Linked DNA regions of Xenopus tropicalis. The protein of the gene in region 2 purifies or fractionates together with the protein of the main gene of each other region. This does not show direct contact. Links are inferred from orthologs where the notes say so. Each region holds a gene or a part of one and is shown on either strand. Other genes may lie near its edges. The genes, in order: rtel1, slx4 and sumo1.

Region 1 (3,751 bases), on a different chromosome or scaffold from region 2:
GCCTTTTTATTCTAGCTCTTTGCGGCTTTCAAATGGGGGGGGGGGGGATTCACTAACCCCAGTAGCCAAAAACTACATTTTATAATTGTCTTTCTGTTAAGTCCCTCTCCTATTCATTTACCATCGTCTCATTCAAACAGCTCCCTGGTTGCTAGGGTAATCTGAATCCTAGCAACCACAGAGCTGCTCAAACCCCAAACTGCACAGCTGCTGCAGCAAAAAGCAAAATAACTAAAAAAAATAAAAAATAAAGACCAACTGCAAATTGTCTCAGAATATCACTCTCTACATCATACTAAGAGTTAACTCAAAGGTGACCAACTCCTTTAACCCCCAACATGCTGGTACCTGTCATTATTATCTAGAGACCCCCCTGAGTGAGGCAAATCCGCCCCAGGGACTAGATGAAGCTCTGGGCTTGGGCTAAACTGTGGCCCTAAGGGGGCGAATGAGCCACACCAGCAGCACCCACTGCATCCACTCCCAGGGAGAAGCACCCTGCGTGCCAGTACCTGAGGCCTGCCCCTCCGCTGATGCACCGCCCCACGCTGCCGCCGGTCGCTCCGGGAAGAGTTCCGCGCCATTCATGCGTTCTGCGATCTTACGGGCACTGATCCCATCCTTGTAGTGCTGCCGCCAAGCCAGAGTGGCACAAAGGAGGCACAGAGTCTTCCCAGTGCCCGTGGGGCTCTCTAATACACCATTCACACCCTGGGGGCAAAGGGAAAGGAGGGCTGTAACGCCAGGCTGGCACTAGAGTAATAATGTTCCGGTACATTCAGAAATGATAGAAAAATGACCAAAGTGACTGATGGCTGAGCCACTTATACCCGCTGGGGCCCCACAGGGCAAATGGGCAGGGGAGGGTCCTACACTCTTTTGAACTATTTGGGGCTATTGATTCCATATACGCCTGCTCTATGGGCACTGCACTGTGTGGGGGTATGTGGTGGGGGGTATGTGGTGGGGGGTATGTGGTGGGGGGTATGTGTGAAACCCAACTGGCAGCCCTGGGCACAGATCCCTATTGCATAACATTATGGGGCCCCTGCCCTGTACTTTCCCTATCAGGGATCTTTGGGAAGTTTCTCTGTGAGTTTAATGTTCTATAACTCACTACCCGGGTACCCTATTCAGAATACTGCATCCCCTGATACCCCTATCCTGTTCCTTGTTGCCCCACTCCCTGCCCTCACTGAATTGTCATTAGCCCCACAGCCCCATACCCCTTGGCCCCATTAGCCCCCGCACCCCTCGGCCCCATTAGCCCCCGCACCCCTCGGCCCCATTACCCCCGCACCCCTCGGCCCCATTACCCCCGCACCCCTCGGCCCCATTACCCCCGCACCCCTCGGCCCCATTACCCCCGCACCCTCAGGCCCCATTACCCCCGCACCCCCCCGGCCCCATTACCCCGCACCCCCAGGCCCATTTACCCCCGCACCCTCAGGCCCATTACCCACCCGCATCCCCCGGCCCCATTACCCCCGCACCCCCAGCCCCATTACCCCGCACCCTCAGGCCCCATTACCCCCCACCTCAGGCCCCATTACCCCGCACCCTCAGCCCCCATTACCCCCGCACCCTCAGGCCCCATTACCCCCGCACCCTCAGGCCCCATTACCCCCGCACCCCAGGCCCCATTACCCCGCACCCTCAGGCCCCATTACCCCCGCCACCCCCGGCCCCATTACCCCGCACCCCCAGGCCCATTACCCCCGCACCCTCAGGCCCCATTACCCCCGCACCCCCCGGCCCCATTACCCCCGCACCCCCAGGCCCCATTACCCCGCACCCTCAGGCCCATTACCCCCGCACCCTCAGGCCCCATTACCCCCGCACCCCCAGGCCCATTACCCCCGCACCCCAGGCCCATTACCCCCGCACCCTCAGGCCCCATTACCCCCGCACCCCCCGGCCCATTACCCCCGCACCCCAGCCCCTTACCCCGCCACCCTCAGGCCCCATTACCCCCGCACCCCCAGGCCCCATTACCCCCGCACCCTCAGGCCCCATTACCCCCGCACCCCCAGGCCCCATTACCCCCGCACCCTCAGGCCCATTACCCCCGCACCCTCAGGCCCCATTACCCGGCCCATTACCCCGCACCCTCAGGCCCCATTACCCCCGCACCCTCAGGCCCATTACCCCGCCACCCCCAGGCCCCATTACCCCCGCACCCCTCGGCCCCATAGCGGACCTGCTGGAGGCACTGGATGACTTTGCCCATATAATCCTCCTGGCATTTATACGGCTGGAACGGGAAATCCACAGTCAGACCGGCCACCGGCACCTGAGGCATCTCCAACCTTTCCCCTCGCCGCCCGGTACCGCCTCACTTCCCGGTACCGCCTCACTTCCCGGTACCCCCTCGCTTCCCGGTAACCCCTCGCTGCCCGGTACCGCCTCGCTTCCCGGTACCGCCTCGCTTCCCGGTACCGCCTCGCTGCCCGGTAACCCCTCGCTGCCCGGTAACCCCTCGCTGCCCGGTACGCCTCGCTGCCCGGTACCGCCTCGCTTCCCGGTACCCCCTCGCTGCCCGGTAACCCCTCGCTGCCCGGTAACCCTCGCTGCCCGGTAACCCCTCGCTGCCCGGTAACCCCTCGCTGCCCGGTAACCCCTCGCCGCCCGGTACCGCCTCACTTCCGGCCTCCAGTCAAAGTTTGTGCTTCGCGCCCTTACGGCCTGACGTCATATACGTCCTCCCTGTGCGTGTGACGTGGCTGCAGCCGGACAGACTCCCTCTCCGGTTGGCTCAGACAGATAGGGACTGTCCCAGGGCGGCCGGTTGGCCGGTTTCCCGCCAGATTGGGCCCCTAATATAAAGCCCAGGCGGGTCCCACGGTAGAAGCCGCTGAGGTACAGTTGGGGTTAGGGTTTGAAGCCTTGGCGGGTTTGTAGTTTGGAAACTAATCAGAGTTTTATTTCTCTGACGTGCATGTGCATTCTGGGTAATGTAGTTTGTAGCTTACGTTTAGCCTACAGCCAAGATTAAAATAAAACTACAATACCCAGCATGCAATTATACACGGAAGCTCCCTTTTCTATTCCTCTTTGCTGAACCTGAAGCAGCAAAACTACAATAACCTGCAGGGACTGAGCACAGGGGGAAACATCACTCACATATTGGGCTACTGGGCTACTTTCTGTGTGGCTGTTGGCTAGCTGGGGGCTATTTTAGAACTGATACAGGATACCCTTCTTATTCACAGTAAGGGGGGATACAGGGTACCCTTCTTATTCACAGTAAGGGGGGATACAGGATACCCTTCTTATTCACAGTAAGGGGGGATACAGGATACCCTTCTTATTCACAGTAAGGGGGGATACAGGGTACCCTTCTTATTCACAGTAAGGGGGGATACAGGGTACCCTTCATATTCACAGTAAGGGCGGGATTACAGGGTACCCTTCTTATTCACAGTAAGGGGGATACAGGGTACCCTTCATATTCACATGTAAGGGGATACAGGATACCCTTCATATTCACAGTAAGGGGGGATACAGGATACCCTTCTTATTCACAGTAAGGGGGGATACAGGGTACCCTTCATATTCACAGTAAGGGGGGATACAGGGTACCCTTCATATTCACAGTAAGGGGGATTACAGGGTACCCTTCTTATTCACAGTAAAGGGGGATACAGGATACCCTTCTTATTCACAGTAAGGGGGATACAGGGTACCCTTCATATTCACAGTAAGGCGGGATACAGGGTACCCTTCATATTCACAGTAAGGGGGGGATTAC
Region 2 (3,751 bases):
GGCTGAGCCATCATTGGAAGGTCAGTTGTACAGTATGGTACACAATAGGAATAATGTCACAATTAAACAACTATTTGCAAAGTTCTGGCACTAGATGGCAGCATTAGGAGAATTACAAATTCTACAAATAAGAGCAGCATTCAGTTATATTTATTCATTCCCTATATTTATATATAGTGCCAACACAGTTCCACAGCGCTTTACAGACATATAGGTCATTCCAATCAGTATATGTAGCTGACAAAACCCACACCAACACTAGCCAATAATTTAGAAGCGACTGCTCCAACATGCACAGTTGTATTGGTGCTATTTTAGTATAAACAATTATGGTTTACCATATACCATACAGGCCTATAAAATGCTGAGGTCAGTTGAGGCTGCAATACTTCTACTCATTAGGGCTAAAGCATGGGGATCGTATGTTTAACGTTCCGTTGGGCCCTGGAGGAGGCTGGGAGCCAACCCACAAGACCCCGGGCAGCATTGTTAGATGGGAAAGCAGGCCCGCTGTGGCCCTCCAACACTGTCCAATAACAACAAAAATCTTTTAGTATAATAAGGCTATATTAGATAGATATAAGAGATATTTGGCCCATTATATGGAAAATGTTTGAAGAATGGCCTGGGTCCTAAAAGGGCTCCACTGGCACAAATAACTGTAACCTTTAAAGGGGAACTGCGGCTTCTGAACCAACATTTTTTTGAAGAGCCCCACACAACACACCTAATATACCTATCATTGTAATCTGTTCCTTTAAAAGGTATGAATAAATACCATTTTATATGCTGAAATCCAGATGCACAACAGTTTATTTTCTTTCTGCATGACTGAAATCCTGGCAGGGGAGGAGGGACTAAAACATCAACGTTACAAATTGGAACAGCATCCCTACAGTTTACAGACAGCAAGCAGGAACTACATAACCCACAATGCATTGCACTCTGATGTTTCTTCCCTTATTAAAGGAGACATATAGGATAAATGAGAAAAACCCTAATTTTGTAGGCAATTATGAATAATATACGGTGCTGGTTTCCCTTTGGGCTAAACATTAATCCTCTCTGTAACAATGGCCCCTTTATTGGAGCTCCCTATAGATCCTCTGGCTTCTCTGTCCAGTGTGAAATGAAGAGTGGGCATGTCCTAACGGTCCCTGCCAGAAGCACAGTAGGAGGGGGAGAGCCAATCACAGCCCTGCACTCCCACAAGCACAGACAGACTTCAGTTCCCTATCAGGTCAGCCTAGCTGCTGATTGGTTCCTATCCTGCAGTGCAGTGTACGGAGGGCCGCCGGTTCCCCAGCTCATCCAGAGAATTCAGCCAGCAGGAAGTGGAACAGATGGGCGGGGCTAGTGGGGTTTTTGTGGAATTTCTCAATAAATCAGTCTGAAACACAACATTTTTAAGCACAATCCTTCTATATCTAGAGGAGTATAATTCACTGGTACATTCTTAATGTTTATAGGATATGTCTCCTTTAATATAATGTGTGCAATTTGGAGGATGCAGGCTCAGGACAGTCTCAATGTAATCAGCCAGCTGAGCAGAACAAGGGGCCCGGCTTAGGTAACTGTTTAAAACCATATTTTCTAATTGATGTATATTGCAAAGTTGCCTAAAATGATGTTTACTATTCGCAAAGTTGTGTTTGGGTGGAGTTCCCCTTTAATGACTAGAAGGGGCCAATTCACTATCCCATAAAGATGGCACGGTGACAAATGGAATGAAGGGATTCAGAAAAATAAGGGATAGGGGTCATAACACAGAGGGCCCTTGCCCTTTAGCTCCTAACTACACATATTCTAACATAATATATAACACTTATCAGCATTTCTGTTCAGTCACTAACTCTGAGCAGAATTCCCAGCAGTGCAGTAAAGTAACCCCCATGCTACCTGTACCATATTGATCAGCTGTTGCTTAGTTACTGCACTGAGGCAATGCTGACCGTACATAGTGAATGAGCCCCAGTCTCTCTGTCTAGTTACAGTGAAAATAATCCTTGTGTACGAACTAACGTGATTACCCAACCATATAACACATGTCAATCATTCTCATGTCAAAAGCCCTACAGGGCCACCTAGCTGGCTACTGAATGTGCCGCTGCAGGTTACTGGGCCCCATTCCTACAGCGGAGCTGCCAGCCCGCACCCTAAGCAGGATTCCATCATTCATTCACTGCAGCCATAGGGCTCACTCACCTCAGTAACACAGCTTCACACAAGCCGCCCCGGAATTGGCGCGTCATGACGTCAACACGCTTCCGCCCAGCTGTGACCGTGGCACGACGTCTCCACAGTAACAGAAGGAACTACCGGAACTCGGCTGACGCATGAGGCGCCACGCCGGAAGTGTTGGGGATTGTAAATAAAGCGCGTCTATAGTAATGTGTAAAGTTTAGGTTTTAGGCAGCTGTTTGTAGCTCAGCTGAAGCAGTGGCATGAAATAAAAAATAAATATAAATGTTTATTGAAAAGTTGCCTAGAATCACGTTTCCTTTCATATGCAAAAAAAACTCAAAAGACTTTGTGCGGAGTCCCCCCTTTAGCACATACACAGGGTTACCATTATTGTTACAACCAGTGTGGGCTGTCACTGTGCCAATAGGTTAATGTCCCTGCGCCCTCCCTACTCATTCCTAAGGGCGGCCTAACCCCCCCTTAACTCCAACACACTCCTACAGCTGGTGTGTTTTTGGTACAGAAACCCTACTATAGTTTATATAAATACCCCGCTGTGTAGCCCCAGGGGCAGCCATTCCTGCACTGGTACAGCTGGGGTGTTTGCTACAGAAACCCTACTATAGTTTGTATAAATACCCCGCTGTGTAGCCCCGGGGGCAGCCATTCCTGCACTGGTACAGCTGGGGTGTTTGCTACAGAAACCCTACTATAGTTTATATAAATACCCCGCTGTGTAGCCCCGGGGGCAGCCATTCCTGCACTGGTACAGCTGGGGTGTTTGCTACAGAAACCCTACTATAGTTTATATAAATACCCCGCTGTGTAGCCCCAGGGGCAGCCATTCCTGCACTGGTACAGCTGGGGTGTTTGCTACAGAAACCCTACTATAGTTTATATAAATATCCCGCTGTGTAGCCCCAGGGGCAGCCATTCCTGCACTGGTACAGCTGGGGTGTTTGCTACAGAAACCCTACTATAGTTTGTATAAATACCCCGCTGTGTAGCCCCGGGGGCAGCCATTCCTGCACTGGTACAGCTGGGGTGTTTGCTACAGAAACCCTACTATAGTTTATATAAATACCCCGCTGTGTAGCCCCGGGGGCAGCCATTCCTGCACTGGTACAGCTGGGGTGTTTGCTACAGAAACCCTACTATAGTTTGTATAAATACCCCGCTGTGTAGCCCCGGGGGCAGCCATTCCTGCACTGGTACAGCTGGGGTGTTTGCTACAGAAACCCTACTATAGTTTATATAAATACCCCGCTGTGTAGCCCTGAGGGCAGCCATTCCTGCACTGGTACAGCTGGGGTGTTTGCTACAGAAACCCTACTATAGTTTGTATAAATACCCCGCTGTGTAGCCCCGGGGGCAGCCATTCCTGCACTGGTACAGCTGGGGTGTTTGCTACAGAAACCCTACTATAGTTTATATAAATACCCCCGCTGTGTAGCCCTGGGGGCAGCCATTCCTGCACTGGTACAGCTGGGGTGTTTGCTACAGAAACCCTACTATAGTTTGTATAAATACCCCGCTGTGTAGCCCCGGGGGCAGCCATTCCTGCACT
Region 3 (3,751 bases), about 32 Mb from region 2:
CATAATGCAACGCTCCTGCCCAGACTTGGCAACTTGGGACTGTAGGCAGCGCATGCGCACACAGCAGGAGCGTCTGGTTGCCATGGCGACGCAGCCGACAGGAGAACTCTGCTCTGTGACATTCAGACCTGGCAGGTGGGGGGAGCGGCAGAGGGTTTGTGGCAGGAGCGGGGAGCCGGGGGAGTTGATATGCAGTGATGCATCTGCATTTGTGACATGCAGAGCCGGCAGGTGGGAGGAGCGGCGGGGGGTTTGTGGCAGGAGTGGGAAGCGGCGGAGGGTTTGTGACAGGAGCAGGGGGGGGGGGGTTGTGGCAGGAGCGGGGGGGGGTTGTGGCAGGAGCAGGGGGGGGTTGTGGCAGGAGCAGGGGGGGGTTGTGGCAGGAGCAGGGGGGGGTTGTGGCAGGAGCGGGGGGGGTTGTGGCAGGAGCGGGGGGGGGTTGTGGCAGAAGCGGGGGGGGGGTTGTGGCAGAAGCGGGGGGGGGTTGTGGCAGAAGCGGGGAGCGGTGGAGGGTTTGTGGCAGGTGAGGGGATCGGAGGGGGGCTGGCTTGTGCTTTTCAGCAATAGCCCATACAGACATGCTGGACAAGATGGCGGCGCCGTTCACTGAAACAAGTATGTAAGTTCTAGTATGTGTATCTCTGTAAATATTTCATTGGGCAAGCCAGAAATATAGCGTTTTTACACAGCAATAGTAGTACTATTTAATAGTGTGCTTAATAGATTTCGACTTTCCTTGTCCTTTAAGAAGCGCATTTTCACTTACGTACCTCAAATGAAAGTGGTTTTACACACAACTAACTGCGCGGAAGTTAGAGACTGAAATTACACTTGCAGAGATAATTTAGGAGCCCTACTAACTCTTCTGCACATCTTGGAAAAGCACCCAGCAGTGAATGGAATTGCTCAATGGTGCTAGCAAAGTATTTAAATTTTTTTTCAGTAAAGCTGTACAAAAAGCAACTTTTCAGACACTATTTTAGAGGTGTATGATGAAATGGGAATACTTGTTCACACATACCCACAGACTGAGATACAAAATAACAGAGTGATATACATTTGACACAAATGCATGTACGCAATGTTGCCCTAAATGTAAGGCAATAAATACCAATAATGGGAAAAACAGCTTTCAACAGAAACATCTGCGTGCATCACTGGTATTTAATCCGTCGCACCATTGAAAGTGCACTTAATTGGGCCAGACAGAAATTTGGGGCTCCCAGTGGTCCCCATGCCCACATGAATGCGGCATCAGCAAAGTTTGAAGTGACAGGACTAGCTGGTACTGCCCAACATCACAGGGATCTAATCATTTTGGCCTGTAGTCCACTTGAATGTTTAAACCGTCACCCTTTAGGTGGCTGCATTAAAGATAAGATTGGGATCCTAAACTATGAAAGTCATGCAAGAAAACAAGATGTGCTTGAACATTACATACAATATAAACAAGCAGAGTGTACTACAAGAGATCAATCGTTAACTCCCACATACCTACACACAGCTTAACATGATACCTCCCCTGGGTAATGGGAATTACCACTACAATTAAATTAACATGTGTATACGTGTGCAGCGGTGTTTGTTTGGAAGGGTTAAACGCGATTGTTATATTTTCAACCAAACATAATAATGTATCTACAAACACTTAGTGGATGCTCATAAATAGACTTAATTTATGTACCTGATAGTTCTGAAATGCTTTGAGCTCTTCCAGGCTAACAGATTTACCCTACTGTAACAAATCAATGCTGTGTGAGACCCCATAAGGCTAAAGCTGCTGAAACTTGTTAGGTTAATATATACTTTATATAGGTCAAATAACTATATGGGCCAATATATCTCTGGCTTTCCTGTTAGGCCTCTCACTTCGCCAACCACCACTGGGCAATTACTCACAGATAATAACATCTACAGGAGAAGATACACATACTGGACAATAAGACATAAAGCAAATTACACGACACACAACGGGGTGTGGGTCCTATAGAGCAGTTTATCCAGCAAAAGTGCACAGCAGCAGAAACCCATAGCAACCAGCTCTAATAGTCTAAGTGTCGTATAAAATGAAAGTAAATGACTTAGCTGCCGCCCTTGGTTATGGGCCGCATGTACTACTTTAGCTGCATATTAATGTGTAGCCATGAGACCTACTTGTTTACATCTACAAGCAGGTCTCCAGACACACAAAACAAGACACACACGTCCCAGAGACTTTCTCTCGTTCTCCCGCCCACTCCACAAAAGTGTCTCACCTGATCAGACATGCTAACTGCTCTCGGCCGGTATCGGTTCGCTACACTGGACCGCTCTACGCTTTTCCTTCCTCCGGGCACAATAACAGCACAAGAGAACCAGACAAGGAAGGTGTTCCGGTTCTTGGGAATGACCTCATTTCCGATACATGCGGCACCGCCCACATTTTGCTGACGCGCACTGCTGCGGCTTGCGGCAAATGGTAGGGGTATGCGCTTGCACAGACGCTGAGCACTAGGTGGCGCTTTTGTGTCCATATTGTAATGCGAACGTCAGCCTTTAACCATTGATATCCAGTGTTTTTTCTGTATAGAGCATTAACCTCTCCAAAGCCGAGCATTAATAGTAGGCGTCTAATGGCTTTGGCACTGCCAGCCTCACATCATTAAAAGGCCCCGTTACATAGTAGATTGGCTTTACCTGGCTTTACGTGGCTTTTGACGTTTTAGTAGGTGATTCTTAACCTTTTTGGTTGCGTCGCATGATTGAAATTGACCACAAATGTTTATATAAACTGGTTAAATGAATGAGCCAAATTACAGACAATTGCTTATATGAAAAAAAAATTGGTTATCTTATCTTGTCAATCTGATCCCTTGAGAGCCCCTGATGCCTCTATATTAGAGGACACATTGGGAAGAGACTAAATAACAGATACCGAGGCATAGGGTGGGTGGAGAATAGACATAATTATCAAAATTGTGTGAATAAACCTTACCCGCGCTTCTAATAAATTTATGTGTAGTTCGTGAAAGACTAATATTATTCTAAAAAACAAATTAAATTACCCAACAACAATCCTCTTACCCAAATAGTGAATAGAATATCATAAATAGCCTCCTTCCTCCAAACTAATCCTCACAGTGAATATATAAATATTATAACAAGGAGTTAGCGCTAAAAAAATATACCACCAAGTGTAAAAATTCTATAATATTTTAATTAATCATTAAATCAATACAAAAAGATACAAGTCATAAGTTAAAAGATACAATAGGATATAGTGATAATCAAAAACAGTTCGTTAAAACTAAATTGTTGGCCCTATTAGTTCATTAAAAAAGTGAACTAGGATAAATGAGGATGGTACAATAAATACGTTTAGCTTTTTAAATGACTATTTATGCACGTATTTATTGTACCATCCTCATTTATCCTAGTTCACTTTTTTAATGAACTAATAGGGCCAACATTTTAGTTTTAACGAACTGTTTTTGATTATCACTATATCCTATTGTATCTTTTAACTTATGACTTGTATCTTTTTGTATTGATTTAATGATTGATTAAAATATTATAGAATTTTTACACTTGGTGGTATATTTTTTTAGCGCTAACTCCTTGTTATAATAATTATAAAAATTGAAAGTCCAATCCAGAAGTGAAATCCTGGTCATCTTACCCCATATATCAAGTTGCCTAATATAATGTTGACTCTTTATCAGCCTTTAGCTAAAATACCATCAAAGAGATCCAATATCTCCACGCCAAGTCA

What was found.
Region 1: the proteins of slx4 (region 2) and rtel1 purify together in Homo sapiens (affinity purification with mass spectrometry; 3 studies listed by BioGRID, with this or other methods). This does not show direct contact. The link is inferred for Xenopus tropicalis from reciprocal best matches to the Homo sapiens genes SLX4 and RTEL1.
Region 3: the proteins of slx4 (region 2) and sumo1 purify together in Homo sapiens (affinity purification with mass spectrometry; 3 studies listed by BioGRID, with this or other methods). This does not show direct contact. The link is inferred for Xenopus tropicalis from reciprocal best matches to the Homo sapiens genes SLX4 and SUMO1.

The regions. Positions count from the first base shown.
Region 1 is NC_030686.2:1,008,275-1,012,025, reverse strand, and holds the start of rtel1 (regulator of telomere elongation helicase 1), read right to left. Parts: upstream 2,723-3,751; 5' UTR 2,303-2,722; coding exon 2,201-2,302; intron 712-2,200; coding exon 513-711; intron 1-512. UniProt on the Homo sapiens protein: A probable ATP-dependent DNA helicase implicated in telomere-length regulation, DNA repair and the maintenance of genomic stability. Acts as an anti-recombinase to counteract toxic recombination and limit crossover during meiosis.
Region 2 is NC_030685.2:20,675,941-20,679,691, reverse strand, and holds the start of slx4 (structure-specific endonuclease subunit SLX4), read right to left. Parts: upstream 2,313-3,751; 5' UTR 2,206-2,312; intron 1-2,205. UniProt on the Homo sapiens protein: Regulatory subunit that interacts with and increases the activity of different structure-specific endonucleases.
Region 3 is NC_030685.2:52,313,725-52,317,475, forward strand, and holds the start of sumo1 (small ubiquitin-related modifier 1 precursor), read right to left. Parts: upstream 2,372-3,751; 5' UTR 2,268-2,371; coding exon 2,256-2,267; intron 1-2,255. UniProt on the Homo sapiens protein: Ubiquitin-like protein that can be covalently attached to proteins as a monomer or a lysine-linked polymer.